Linked DNA regions of Saccharomyces cerevisiae S288C. Changing the gene in region 1 together with any one later gene gives a genetic interaction. Each region holds a gene or a part of one and is shown in the gene's direction. Other genes may lie near its edges.

Region 1 (8,019 bases):
ATGGAAGATAGATAATATAGCCATAAGAGTTTCGTGACGGATGTAAGGCGTAACCTGGAATGCCACGAGGATGTATTTTCGAGTCGGGATTATGGTTGTTAACTATAACCGGTTGACCGAAAGGTAGTATAGTAGTAATGTCCAGTCCAGCTAAACCTGCATGTTGTCTTGCAGATTTATCGTTTTTTGGTGAGACTAATGAATTTCTGATTATAGTAGAAAATTCGACTGCTGAGAACCATAGATGATTTGGTAGACCACTGCAATGAAGCAGTGTGCGACAATCGTTTAATAAAGTACGATTTAATCGTTCAGCGACACCGTGTGCTCTAGAATCTGCCGTGGTTGTATAGCATGCAGTAATACCTCTGTTCGTAAAGAACTTATGAAGAGTTTTGTTAGTGTACTCGGAGCCACGATCCATCTGGATAACTAGAACGCGAGCATTGAATTGGTTCTTAATAAATGCTAATATCGATGTAAAAACATTGAGGATAGATTCTTCACGACGGTCGTGTAATGGGTACACCCATTGGAATCTGGTTTTCTCATCTGTAAACGATATAAAGTAAGAAGGTGCACTTTTCGGTAAGTGATGTACAGGACCAAATATATCGGTATGCAAGTACTGAAAAGGCTCATATGATTCTTGGTACTTTAGTCGTGATCCTTTGACATGTCTATGTTTCGTGCTTTTGCCGATTAGACAGTCAGGACATTGATATGTGCTAGCGTTAGACCATTCAATATCCGATTCCTTCAAATATGTAACTGCATTCTTCTTAAGAGACTTCTGAATACTTCGGAAGTTAGCATGTCCAAGCATTCGATGTATTAACGGATATGGATATTTATTTACGCTTTTGCTTTTGTTGACGTTGTTTATTGTTAGCTTTGAAATGTGCGAAGGAATTAGGTATTTTTTAGATAACCAGTAAAAGTCTCCATGTTTGACTATGGGAGCTAGTACTGTACCATCCGATCTTTCTAAAGTGTTTCTGGTAAAGCAGGCAGTAATATTTTGATTAGCCAGCTCACTCAAACTTAATAGATCATAGGCTATGTTTGGTGTGTGTAGTGCTTTTATTGATGTTTTGGTGCCGTTCTGAAAGTTGAAGTGAAGATTACCAATGGCATTTATAGGAATGTCTTGTTTTTGAGCATCGACTATGTTTATTTCAGAATTGGGTGTTGCATGGTGTAAATAATGGGCTGATCTGACAAGCGTTTGCGAAGCTCCTGAATCAATAAGAAGGTGATCAGGTAGTTCGTCATTCGAGTCTATTGTGTGTGTTGGCTTAGATTCTTTCTGTTGCTGGCCTAAGACTAAGTTCGTTGTCATCGCTTAAGTATTGTGATGAAACGGTTGATTCATTAATGTGATCATTGTTCACCCTTGAGAATTTACTAGATGTAGCAATATTGTGAGCTTTTGCTGCTCTTGGTTTTGAACTATTTGTTCTCTGATAATTACGAGTTGTAACCTTTGTGTTAGTCGTGTTTGGAGATGTGCGAGAAACATTTTTGTATTCGCTGTGTTGTTTGTATTGGGACGGTTTATTTAGATTCATGATTTTATTTTCGTCATATATTAATTGAATTTCAGCGAATAATTGGGAAAGTTTCATGTTCGTTTTGGTACGATATTGATTACGTAGGTATTTGAAGTCACCGGATAGACCTTTAAGTATTAGTTGACAGGCCAATCTGTCGCTAACATTGATATTGTTTTCTTTTAGCCTCTGAATGATCGTACTGACTGTAATTTCAAATGTATCAGCAGATGTACTTCCGTCGTACTCAAGGTTGGCAAGAGCTATCCAATCCTTTAATTCTTGATTGTTAGTTTGCATTTTGGACACACTTTTACAAAGGACTGTAAGGATGTCAGCATAATTAATTTCTAAAATTTGTTTTACCCATGTTGGCAATAAATGAAATGGGGCAAATGCTTGGAAGGTATTGTATATATACGCATGTTCTTCATAAGTCATTTGTCTTTTGATTTCACCCTGGTCATTTGGAATGATGTCACCGAGATTAGAGTTCTTCAAAAATCTGATGTAAAATTTAACCCATGTAGAAAAGTTTTCTTCTGATGTTAAAGTGTGTGGTGGTAAGACGTTATTTCCCACCTTTGTCTTAGCTTGAGGTATTTCAGAGTGTTGATTTTTTAAATCGATTGGATCAGGTGAGGAAGTACTCAGTGGTGGGATATACTGTGGCAACGGATAGTGTGGGTCCGGTTGATAATACGCAGGTGACGTTTGATAATGTGAACACGTCATCATAGATGGTTGTTGGTAATGTGCCCAGTTAGAGGCCATAGCTTTGTTTGGGGTCATCATGCCGTGCTGTTGGTACTGTCCATTCTGTGGAGGTGGTACTGAAGCAGGTTGAGGAGAGACATGATGATGGTTCTCTGGAACAGCTGATGTCCCAGGTGTTGTCTCTTGTTGAGAATTAACCTTAGTGGAATCTCTATCAAATTCCGGTAAATTGGAAGCTGAAACGGCTAACGGATCTTGATTTGATGGGACTTCCTTAGAAGTAACCGAAGCATAGGCGCTACCATGAAGATTGGGTGAATTTTGAGATAATTGTTGGGATTCCATTTTTAATAAGGCAATAATATTAGGTATGTAGATATACTAGAAGTTCTCCTCCAGGATTTAGGAATCCATAAAAGGGAATCTGCAATTCTACACAATTCTATAAATATTATTATCATCATTTTATATGTTAATATTCATTGATCCTATTACATTATCAATCCTTGCGTTTCAGCTTCCACTAATTTAGATGACTATTTCTCATCATTTGCGTCATCTTCTAACACCGTATATGATAATATACTAGTAACGTAAATACTAGTTAGTAGATGATAGTTGATTTTTATTCCAACAAGAAAAATACAATCTTCGAAAGTCATCCTCCCTTGAATATTCTTTCTTACCTAAACGAATAAGAACAGAATCTGAAAACAGGCAAGTGATTTTACGGAGGGTTGGCCGAGTGGTCTAAGGCGGCAGACTTAAGATCTGTTGGACGGTTGTCCGCGCGAGTTCGAACCTCGCATCCTTCAATAACTTATTTTTTTCCTCAATCTTCGATATTAGACATTTTTTTTTTCCTATGCCTCCCTTTTCCAAGTAATGTTTTTTTTTTTTTTTTTTTTTTTAGCTCCTCTCACAAAAGTACTGAGGACTGAAATGTAAAAACTAATAACACAATAGAAATAATCATATGATGATATAGAAAAGAAGAGAGGAGACAATCATAATATTATACGAACTCATGGCTTTCCTTATGGGAAATTCTACATTCTCGATAGTGACCCTGGTATATTCAATATACTTAGGAATAACTGTCTTTCATAACAATGGCGGCCATACGATTACCGTATTATCCACCTATTCTTGATATTAAACTGGAAATTCTGTGAATTTTGTGATAATTGTTGGAATTCCATTGTTAATAAAGGCTATAATATTAGGTATACAGGGTTTACTAGAAGTTCTCATCGAGGATTTAGGAATCCTCAAAATGGAATCTATATTTCTACATGCTAATGTTACGATTATTCCTCATTTCGTTTTATATGTTTCATTATCCTATTACATTATCAATCCTTGCATTTCAGCTTCCTCTAACTTCGAAGCTTTCCATAACTTCTGTCATCATCTAATACCGTATATGATAATATATTGATAGTATGACCACTAGTTGATACACTGTTGGAATAAAAACCAACTATCATCTACTAACTAGTATTTATGTTACTAGTATATTATCATATACGGTGTTAGAAGATGACACAAATGATGAGAAATAGTCATCTAAATTAGTGGAAACTGAAACGCAAGGATTGATAATGTAATAGGATAATGAAACATATAAAACTGAATGAGGAATGATCGTAATATTAGCATGTAGAAATATAGATTCCATTATGGGGATTCCTATATCCTGGAGGAGAACTTCTAGTATATCTACATACCTAATATTATTGCCTTATTAAAAATGGAATCCCAACAATTACATCAGAATCCGCACAATTATCATAGATGATAATGGATTTTTATTCCAACAATCAGCATGCCTTTTGTATTTCTGTAAAGAAGAGTAAACCATAACCTAAGTCAATATCAAATTTAGGATTGATGAATTTTCTACTCAAAATGCTTTGTTCAAGAAGGTACGAAAGAAGGTTCCAATCGTCCATTTTAGGGTCCTATAGTGTAGTGGTTATCACTTTCGGTTTTGATCCGGACAACCCCGGTTCGAATCCGGGTAGGACCTTTTCTATTTTTTAACCCTCTTGTTTTATTTTTCTTTCTTGGCTTTGAATTGCACAGCCCCTCGCATTTTTTTTCGATACCCTGAAAAAAGGAAAAAGGCGAAGAAATAAGGGCAATTTCTATTTAAAAATTATACAAGCTCGATTTTTCATTTTCTCCTTCCCCTCTCGCCCCTCCCAGTTTTCAACTGTATTTAAATGTTTCTCAGTTATGTTGTGAATTAAAATAATCCTAATTGTCAACTAAAAAAGTCTAAGTTAGCAATACCAAAATGAGGCATCATCAAAATATGCATTATGCCCCACAACAACAACCAGTCTATGTCCAACAGCCTCCTCCTCGGAGAGAATCCGGTGGTTGCTGTAGAACCTGTTGTCACTTCCTATGTTGTCTATGTTTAATTAACCTATGTTGTGACGTTTTTTAATTCTAATCGACAGCTAAAAATTAGTATGGAAAGAACATCATATTTAGCCGCTGAAAAAAAAGAAGCAGCTGCGTATCTTCTCAAATTTATGCGTACATAGTGACATATATTTAAAAGCTTCCTCACTTTCCTTTTTTATATTTTTTCATTGCTCAAGTATTAGTCACATCGGAAAGTATGCTTGCTGCATTAAATACATGCATGTGTTTATAAGTGTTTGCATTTTCTCTCTCTTCTTTTTTTTCTTCCTGTTACTTGTATACGAACGACATATTTATTTTCACTATTTCTCATTTATATTTATAGCTACTACCCCTATTACGTTACAAGAACACTTTATAGCATTATGTTCATTAAAAACGATCACGCCGGTGACAGGAAACGCTTGGAAGACTGGAGAATCAAAGGTTATGATCCATTAACCCCTCCAGATCTGCTTCAACATGAATTTCCAATTTCAGCCAAAGGTGAGGAAAACATTATCAAGGCAAGAGACTCCGTCTGTGATATTTTGAATGGTAAAGATGATCGTTTAGTTATCGTGATCGGGCCATGTTCCCTACATGACCCCAAAGCCGCTTACGATTACGCTGACAGATTGGCTAAAATTTCAGAAAAGTTGTCAAAAGACTTATTGATTATTATGAGAGCGTATTTAGAAAAACCAAGGACTACTGTTGGCTGGAAAGGGTTGATTAACGACCCTGATATGAATAACTCTTTTCAAATCAATAAAGGTCTACGGATTTCGAGAGAAATGTTCATAAAACTGGTTGAAAAATTACCCATTGCTGGTGAGATGTTGGATACCATTTCTCCGCAGTTTTTGAGTGATTGTTTCTCCTTGGGTGCCATCGGCGCCAGAACTACTGAATCCCAACTGCACAGAGAATTAGCATCCGGTCTATCTTTCCCTATTGGATTTAAGAACGGTACTGATGGTGGTTTGCAAGTCGCCATCGACGCTATGAGAGCCGCTGCACATGAACATTACTTCCTTTCTGTCACAAAGCCAGGTGTCACTGCTATCGTGGGCACTGAAGGTAACAAGGATACCTTCCTGATCTTGAGAGGTGGTAAGAACGGTACTAACTTTGACAAAGAAAGTGTTCAAAATACTAAGAAACAGTTAGAAAAGGCCGGTTTGACTGATGATTCCCAGAAAAGAATTATGATCGATTGTTCCCACGGCAACAGTAATAAAGATTTCAAGAACCAACCAAAGGTTGCCAAATGTATTTATGACCAGCTGACGGAGGGTGAGAATAGTCTCTGTGGTGTTATGATTGAGTCCAACATAAATGAAGGTAGACAAGATATTCCCAAAGAAGGTGGCAGAGAGGGATTGAAGTATGGTTGTTCTGTTACGGATGCTTGTATTGGCTGGGAGTCCACCGAACAGGTATTGGAGCTATTGGCAGAAGGTGTTAGAAACAGAAGAAAGGCCTTGAAAAAATAGCCTGTAAATGAGGGAAAAATGCAAATAATCTTGAATGATACTCAAAACTTTTGATTTATTGTAATTTCTTTCTGAACCATATTTATTACATTCAAACTTTTTTTTTTTTGCCTTTTATAAAAAAAAATACTTATAAGAAAAGAGAAAGAAAATGACAGTTTTCTATGTATCATTAAATAAACATCCATATACAAATATAGCGTTATGTTTTACTTTTATTATTTACATGCATAGAAGTGTTGGCAAAATTCTTTACGAGCCACGGGGCTGCTATTTCAGGTTTTATTTCCATCTTAAGCCATCGTTAACTTCTTCACATTTTCTTTCACAAACAATTTTACATAGCGATTGGATACCCAGTTTCCCTCTTCTAGAAGGAATCACATTGGCAAAGTGATTTAGTACTTCTCTTTCGGTAACTTTGGCGCCAGTGTCATCATTCGTTCTCTTTTCAATATACGCAGCGATTTCCTGTTCTGTAGGCAATTGGTATTTAGAATGGTAGGGATATTGAGTCCAAGTAACATTCGAGGTATTTCTTAGTAATGACATTGGTAGCGATGGTTTAGGAGATGTGATAGATGTCAACTGAGATACAAATAACTGTTCCTTCTTTGTCCATGGATACGGGACCCTTTGTTTATCAATAAGTTTATGCTTTGTGGCTTCAGAGAATTCCACCAAAGAGTCCTGGTTCATGCACATGTTAGCTGCTGTGTATAAGTCTCTTTTGATAGCAGATTCTATGTGATCTCTGGAATTCTCTTGCACCAATCTCAAGGCGATTTGAAGAGAGGATGGTGACTTGGTTAACAATTTCGTTTTGATTTCTTGTGCGAAAGCCTTACCTTCCGCAGAACCTTCATATTGACGTAAGTTATTCATTATGTCTTCAATAGTACCATTTTTAGACAAGTTAAAACAGGCTTCAATAACGTTTAATTTCTCGTTAGAATACTTGAAAACATAATCTTTTGGTAATGGTGATACGAATTCGTCGATGGATTCGTTAACCATCCCGAAGAAGTATGCAGATTGTGGATCGTTATTAAAAGGGGGGCTAATTTCACCTAATCTTTTCTGCAAAGCATCTAAATTTTCACTACTGACGTAATGAGACGCTAAGCCGAGCATATAAGCGTCTGCTCCTGTGACTACTTCTCCTGTAAGACATAGATACAGGGCCATTTGTGAGTTTGAGTTAGCCAATGTCACGATTCTAGGGAGAGCAAAAGTTGAGCCTACATCTGGAAAAAAACCAATGTCCATCTCGGGCATGGCCCATTTGGTGTTTTCTGTAGCAATTCTAAAGGGCGTGTGAATGGATAGACCAACGCCGCCACCCATGGTGATACCGTCCATGAAGGTAACAATTGGTTTCAAGTAAGTTGCTATTTGAAAATTCAAAGAATATTCATCAGTAAAAAATTTGATGGACTTGGCAAATTCTTTGTTAAAATTGAATATTGCCACAGTAGCTACATCACCACCAGCACAGAACGAACGTGGTCGGTTGGATGACTTTAAAATGACTAAGTTTGTAGTATCGCTCTTTGCATACTCGTTCAAAGTCTTGAACATGGATTCTGACATTTCGGCGTTCAAAGCATTGAGCTTTTTGGGCCTATTTAGCGTGATAACTCTAGCTGTATCTTGAACGGTAAATAGCACAGGTGGTGCGTCGGTGACATTTAGCTGGGGTTGAGTAGTCATGAATGTACGTGTGGTAGTTTTAAATCCGTATTTAGACGACAATTGGGCACATTTTAGCGTATTTCTGAGCATTATTTGTGGTGGCTAAACAGAACCAAGTATTATATAAATGAGGATTC
Region 2 (7,322 bases), on another chromosome or scaffold:
ACATAATCGAAATTGATTGTCGTTAGACTTCAAGTGTTCCTTTTATATCTCGAGGATTCCTACCATTCAAGCTAATAAATTTTTCACCAACCATTCCTTTTTTAGGATCTTTCTTATTTTGACCAAAATCTAAATTTAGCTCAAAATGTGGTGTTCCGCTTGAGAAAACACTCATTTGTACTATTAGTTTTCCTGATCTGGTAAAGAAATGAAAAATTAGGCTGAGTTGGCGACTTATCACTACAGACGGAAAGCCATTAATGAGCTTTTTTGTCTTTAATAATTTCCGAAATAGGAAATAGTAAGATCACTTAATATGAATAACTCCCAAGAATTACCATTTACGGCCCCTTCCAATAGAGGTGGGAAATGTGTATGTGCATTGTGAGGGTCGCCTAATTGGGCAGAAGGGGGGAGAAATGAGCGTGGCAAAGCAGTGAGATTGACTCGTTTTGCGGCCAGCAACGTGTTGGACATGGCGGACCTGCCTGCATTAATTATAGCACAAAGCCTATCATTCATCGCATCCTTGTGCAAGTTCTAAGTTCACCTCCATATGGATTAGCGGCCAGGATAATGGAAAAAATTTACCATACTTTTTTTTGCAGAATAGATCAACAGTTTGGTGCATTTGTTCCTTCTTGTTTTTTTTTTGCTTGTTTTTACAATTTTTACTGTTTTACTATGAACTGATGGCTGGTATAGTGACAGAGTTTCTACTTTTTTGCTACTTAGTAGACTACTATACTAACTAGGACATATGTTGTTCGTAACGGTAAATGCACTTAAAGTATTTTACTGTTTTTAATTGGATTTGCTTGTTGTAGTAATTTTTGGACTGATTTCGGTCAATCGCTATTTTAATTTTTACTGTTCCTTGCATCTTTTACTAATCCGAAATTAGCTCAGCTCAAATTTGTAGTTTACTAAAGTACGCTTTTCCTAAAAGACGAAAACACAAATATAGTGAAGACATTATCCGACTTTTTTGCCAAAAAGGGACAAAGCACGAAATTAAGTAAAACTGTGGTAAAAACTACAGAGGAACGTCGCATTGGCTAGCAAGGATCTATTGTTACTCTATCAAAACCCCTTTGCCAAGCTCACATATCCTATTTGCCGTTCCTGAAGGCATCCAACTAGGCTTGATATCATCTTACTTATATAGTGGGCTTCTGCTCCTTAACCTGATCAATTTCACCTCTAATTTTGTAGGATTCCTGAGAAAATACAGAAATTCTAACGTTCCTCTGATATATTACGAGTGAATCATTGGGTATATATAAGAGAAGTGGAGTAACAAAAGCTGTAGAAAGTAAGTTACACAGAGTCACAAAAGAATATCGACTTTTTGTGCAAGAAAATTCGACTGTTTTGACTCACAAAATTATTCTTTTTGCGAAAGAGTGGGGAAACGAAAACAGTTAAAAGAGTAAAATAACTTGTATACATATACTTATCTTCTTGTTTCGAAATTTCTGTTTAGTCTCGATTTTTTAATTCTATACAACTTACTGAAGAAGTGAACACCGCCCCAATATGCATTACAAGAAAGCATTTCTAGCATCTCTATTAAGTAGTATTGCGCTAACTGCGTACGCTCCACCTGAACCCTGGGCAACTTTAACTCCAAGCTCTAAAATGGATGGTGGCACAACAGAGTACCGGACCTCATTCGGTCTCGCTGTTATACCTTTCACCGTTACTGAAAGTAAGGTCAAAAGAAACGTCATTTCACAAATTAATGACGGTCAAGTGCAAGTAACGACACAAAAATTACCTCATCCAGTTTCGCAAATTGGAGACGGCCAAATACAAGTTACAACGCAGAAGGTGCCTCCAGTAGTGTCACATATTGTGTCACAAATAGGCGATGGTCAATTACAAATAACTACAGCTAAAAATGTTGTCACAAAGTCCACAATTGCTGTTCCAAGTAAAACTGTAACTGCGACAGCAACTTCAACCGCAACTGCTGTTTCTCAGATTCATGATGGTCAAGTGCAAGTTACTATTTCTTCAGCCAGTAGTAGTTCTGTGCTTTCCAAGAGTAAGTTAGAGCCAACAAAGAAACCAAATAATGAAAAAGTGATCAAGGTGCAAGCCTGTAAAAGTTCTGGCACCTTGGCAATAACGTTACAAGGAGGTGTTCTTATTGACTCCAGTGGTAGAATTGGATCGATAGTAGCAAACAGACAGTTCCAATTTGATGGTCCACCTCCACAGGCGGGCGCTATTTACGCTGGCGGCTGGTCGATAACGAAGCATGGCACTTTAGCTATTGGTGATAATGACGTGTTTTACCAATGTCTGTCGGGCACTTTCTATAACCTTTACGATCAGTCTATCGGGGGCCAGTGCAATCCCGTTCATTTACAAACAGTTGGTCTCGTCGATTGTTGAATCACCAACATTATAATCTTGCAGGTCTTGATTGTACTTCAAAAATATAACTAAAATAATAGTATAAAAGTAAGTCTGTCTTACTATGTATGGGGCGCGTTATAATTTTACGTATTCACAAACGAGTTTTCATTTACTTCATCGTTTTTATTTTCGGAGATGTTGCCTTCTGCATTACTCAAAGCGCACTCCAGCTTTTTCCAGCTGTTTCATCCTAAGTTTAAGTGCCATATAAATCAACGGTGGGAACCCTAAAACACTAACGACACTTCCCTTATAAAGAATGGATTTTTTGCCTAAGGTGGAATTGCCTATTAGGCTCGAAAGTTGAATGAGAAACCCCCAAACAATCGAAAATTGAGAGACATCACTGTACGTCAAAGAATGAAGTACTTTATGGAGGTCACTCTTTTGTAAGTCAAGCTCTTTCTCTTGATAGGTATCAAGTGCTGGCTTGAATATTCTATTGGGAGCGTCATGGACTATATTTACAATGTCGTCTTCTGCGATGGCATGGGGATCTTCTTGCTCTTTGGACTTATTCAAGCTATTTGATTCTAGATATAGGCATGCCAGACCTGTCCCATACAGTGTTGTCACTAAAAGACTAGTGTACAAATTACCCTTCGAAAATAAAGGTTTTGAGCCAAGATTGGGCGATGTGCCTGAAAACTTGGTGAATTGTGAGTTGTGACGTAACAACCTTGTGTATAGCATATGAATGAAAGAACTCTATGATATACTTGATTTATTTACCTTGCATCAAGTTTTCGTTATCCGCACCAACTTAAACTAATTTTATAATATACTTAAAATAGACATTCAGGGGAGTATTCAAAAAATCACGGAGGTTTTTATCAGCACTTTGGAAGGGAGCAAAAGCAGGCAAACTATCTCACCAGAGGTCTGAATGGTGGACTGCGAATATCGGAAGATAGGAAATACAACTTTGTTGATTGGCATTCTTATTTTTAGGCTGATCTATTATATTTAGGCAGTTTATGTTCCTAAAAATACATGTCGATCATCTGCTCCAAGCAAATAAGCTATTTACTATGAAGAAATTTTTAAATTAATGAGGCAGAAGTTACGCATATCAGAAAGACTCTAGATGTTCTCATTGTAAAGAACAGTTTACACTTGGTGATACGGACTAACAGGTATTCATATGGGAAGATATGAAAATTGTGCAAGGAATACGCCGCCAGACTTTATGATAGATTAATGGCATCGGAGTTGCTGCACTGTAATTTTTTAAGCATCGTGGCAGCCCTCGGTTCCATCCTAGCGTTTATAAATATCTAATATAGAGCAAACTCGCAATATTCTGTAAACTATGATTCCAATGGCAGTAGTTATTACCATTTCTAGCGAAAGGATCACTCTAGACGATATAAGTTTAAAATTTGTTGATGTAATTAGAGGTGTAGTCGTCTAGAAGAAGATATGGCATGTAATGTTTTGAATTTACCTCATCTAATAGCAGGAACACAGGTTTTTTGCAGAACAGAGAGGCATTTCTGGTATAGTTAAGATGTGGGAGAGGGACAAAGGCAGATTTGGAGGTGCAAGAAATTTGTCGTGGTTAGCGACTAGCATTGTGTTAAGTTTCGCATTGTATTGATTTTATAAGGGATGTATTGCATTCGGCTAAGGCAACATTTATGGATAACGAAGTGCGGTTGAGTTCTGGTATCGGTTTTGAGAGAGTCTCTGTTGCTGTTAAGATTCCAATTTACATATCTGTCCTGCACAGGTTAGCGCTGCGGCGTTGCACAGGCATGAAACTAGGAAAACGTACTTTGGGCAGATTTGTAAAAAAAATTCTATCAAAACAACTAGTACAGAACAGTTGAGTTTAGAGCCGGTGTCTATTATCATATGGGAAAGATGATCCTCTTGTTAATTTGGTAAGTAGTACTATTAGGTGTTGAATATTAACCGTTTATAATCCGATATAGTGTAACGGCTATCACATCACGCTTTCACCGTGGAGACCGGGGTTCGACTCCCCGTATCGGAGTATTTTTTATGTGATTAGCTAAATAGTTATTTTTTGAAATAGTTTGTAGTAGTTCACCTTTATCCTATTAAAATATAATATCACACGAAAATTATCTGTTTGTCCTCAATTCAGTTGATCATTGTGCTAGATGTTCAATATTGTGAAACTTTTACAATACCGATTCGGTGCGGACATCTTGAAAATACAATACCGTGCGATGCCTTTAAACTTTTTTTGAGGCATGAGCGTAAATAGACCTGGAATGTTCAATATAGACTGTAGCAAAGTGCTTCTTCAGTTTATGCTATTGTACACTGTACTATTCTTATGTCACAGGTAATAGAACCACAATTAGATAGAACAACCTATTATTCCATATTAGGCTTGACATCAAATGCGACTTCCTCCGAAGTACATAAATCATATCTAAAACTGGCCAGATTACTTCACCCAGATAAAACAAAATCTGATAAGTCTGAGGAATTATTCAAAGCTGTGGTGCATGCACATTCAATTTTAACTGATGAAGATCAAAAACTTCGATATGATCGAGATTTGAAAATCAAAGGTTTACACACTTACCAGCCGAAGAAAAACTGTCATATTTTCAAGACCAAGGCAAAGGAATCACAAGGGGCTAGTCCCACACTTGGTCAATCAGAAGCTTATCATAGGCAAAATAAACCTTATGAGCAACAGCCCTACGGTTTCGGTGTAGGCAAAAAAATGACCTCAAGCTCTAAGAGTAAGGTTCCGATATTCAAGTCCTTCAATTTAAAAAGCTACCAACGAAACCACTATTATTCATCCAAAAAGGAAAGGAAACATGGAAGTCCTGATATTGATTCTTTGTTCCATGAAACCAATGGAGCCTCAAAAGTAAGAATGACTGATGCCGGTAAAATGGATACGAACTCTCAGTTCCAAGAAATATGGGAAATATTGGGTAAAAATGCGTACACACATAAATCTTACTCTGAAGATCCAAATTCATGTTTGGGATCAGCACTAAGCGATCATGAAGAAGAAGAAGAAGCAGGAAAACAACAACAGCAACAGCAGCAACAACAGCAACAGCAGCAACATTATGGAATGACGTCGAAGTCTAGCAGTCCTGATGAAGAAAAAAAAAATAATAAAGAACCGAAAAGGGAAAGCAGAGTCTCTCCAGAGGAAAATGGCGAAGAAGAAACGGGACACAAACAATTTAAATTGCCCAAGACCAGTACTTTTTCTAGTGGATCCCATGATTCAAATTTGCAATCTCCTTTTTACAATCATGAGTATCGACATTACGCAAGAAGTAAATTCGAATGCAAGAATCAGTTTAGAAAGTCAGTTTCTCCCATTAAAGAGATACCTGCAACAACTAGTGCCAATGAAGGATGGAACATTTTGAGAGACATTATTGAAAAACTCAATATAAGCAATGTAGACGATCGAAATAAAGACTTGCTGTTTCGTCGGGATGAAATAGGTGATAAAAATCACAGCGACTCAATCGACATAGAAAATTTATCTATCAAAGAACCTAAAGGGATGAAAAGGAGAAAGAAAGATGATATATCTTTAGAAGAATTGTTCCAATCTTTACCAAGAGAAAAAGATTATTTTATGATGGATGCAATTAATGACTCGTTAGAATCAATCAATCTTTTTAAAAAGCCGAAGACCACTCAGAGTCACGAACAAGGTGGAACTTTTGCCCAAGCAGAAAGTAATCGTGCAAAATTCAAACCGTTACTAGAACAGTGTGGAATTACACCCGAGATCTTAGATTTGGAAATACCAGAGATTCCGGAATTTGATGCAGTGGCTGACCTTGAAACATTGAAGCTTAACGTGCAGCTGTTTAATAACCAATGTAACAAACTTAAAGAAACAATACATCAAGTATCATTACAGCGCCTGAGAGCAGATACGCAGTTCAGTGATATGTTAACCCAAAAGCAAAGTATTATGGTTTGGAAAACATACCTAGAATTTGATAAAAGTTTAATGGACAAATTGAACATCTTACAAGAAAGACAGATGCAGGTCATTAAAATTTTTTCCGAAAGATGTGACGGTAAAGTATAATCGAACGCTCTTCTTAATGAGCATATACCCGTCGTCCTTACGCCAGGATGGAAATAATTTGAATGAATAATGTAAAATATATAAAAGTATCTAGTCAGTACATTTCATGTCTCAATTATTAATATCTTAAATATATATTTAGTTATGGAAATTCAATAAACTACTGAAATAAATAGAAAATTCTTACAGAAAATGGTAAAAGTAAAAAAAAATTACCAAAGGGTGCACTTGGCAATTTAAAAGTACTTATAAACTGGTTTGGCTTCCAAGTGAATGAAAGTGCTATGGGATTATCATCAGGTAAGTACAGTGTATCTTACTAACATTGGCCGAGCGTTTATTGTTGTTCCGTGGAAGTTTATCATGATTTCCCGCCCTTAATCGAAATCAAAAAAAAAAAAAATAAAGGGTAAGGGATTCCTAAAAACCAACAAGATGAAGGGCTGATCTGCAAGAAGTCTAATAGACTTATAAGGAATACAAACCCTAGTTCTTGCATTTCACGTATACATCTTCAAACCGTGCGAAGCAAAGGCGCAGAACAATGTCAAACGAGGATGAAACAACTCGTTTAATGTCTTCAGATGAGATGGACTATTTATTGGAAACGGCTGGGATCAACGCCTTGGAAGAAATCATTAGTCAAAATGACAGTACTGGAATAAATTTGGATACTAATGAAACAGCTCAGGACAGTAGCTATGACTCTATCCGGCGCTCCCCCAGTATTTTGAGTGTTGCCAAAAGCGTTGAGGGAGAGCATGGACGTAGAAAACTATTATGCCTTTACGGCCTTGTTATGATTATCTGTATTGCGGAGTCTATTTCTATGACT

The links.
Region 2: mutations in ARO3 (region 1) and PIR5 together harm fitness more than expected from each alone (negative genetic interaction), as found in Saccharomyces cerevisiae (2 studies listed by BioGRID).

The regions. Positions count from the first base shown.
Region 1 is NC_001136.10:516,742-524,760, forward strand, and holds ARO3 (3-deoxy-7-phosphoheptulonate synthase ARO3), read left to right. Parts: upstream 1-5,074; coding exon 5,075-6,187; downstream 6,188-8,019. Other genes in the region: YDR034C-C (gag protein), read right to left, coding at 1,299-2,615; YDR034C-A (uncharacterized protein), read right to left, coding at 3,775-3,951; cysteine-rich palmitoylated domain-containing protein CPP3, read left to right, coding at 4,573-4,728; mitochondrial 37S ribosomal protein mS47 EHD3, read right to left, coding at 6,470-7,972. UniProt on the Saccharomyces cerevisiae protein: Stereospecific condensation of phosphoenolpyruvate (PEP) and D-erythrose-4-phosphate (E4P) giving rise to 3-deoxy-D-arabino-heptulosonate-7-phosphate (DAHP).
Region 2 is NC_001142.9:113,043-120,364, reverse strand, and holds PIR5 (beta-1,3-glucan linked protein), read left to right. Parts: upstream 1-1,539; coding exon 1,540-2,403; downstream 2,404-7,322. Other genes in the region: FMP33 (Fmp33p), read right to left, coding at 2,578-3,120; JJJ2 (Jjj2p), read left to right, coding at 4,736-6,487; YJL163C (uncharacterized protein), read left to right, coding at 7,032-7,322.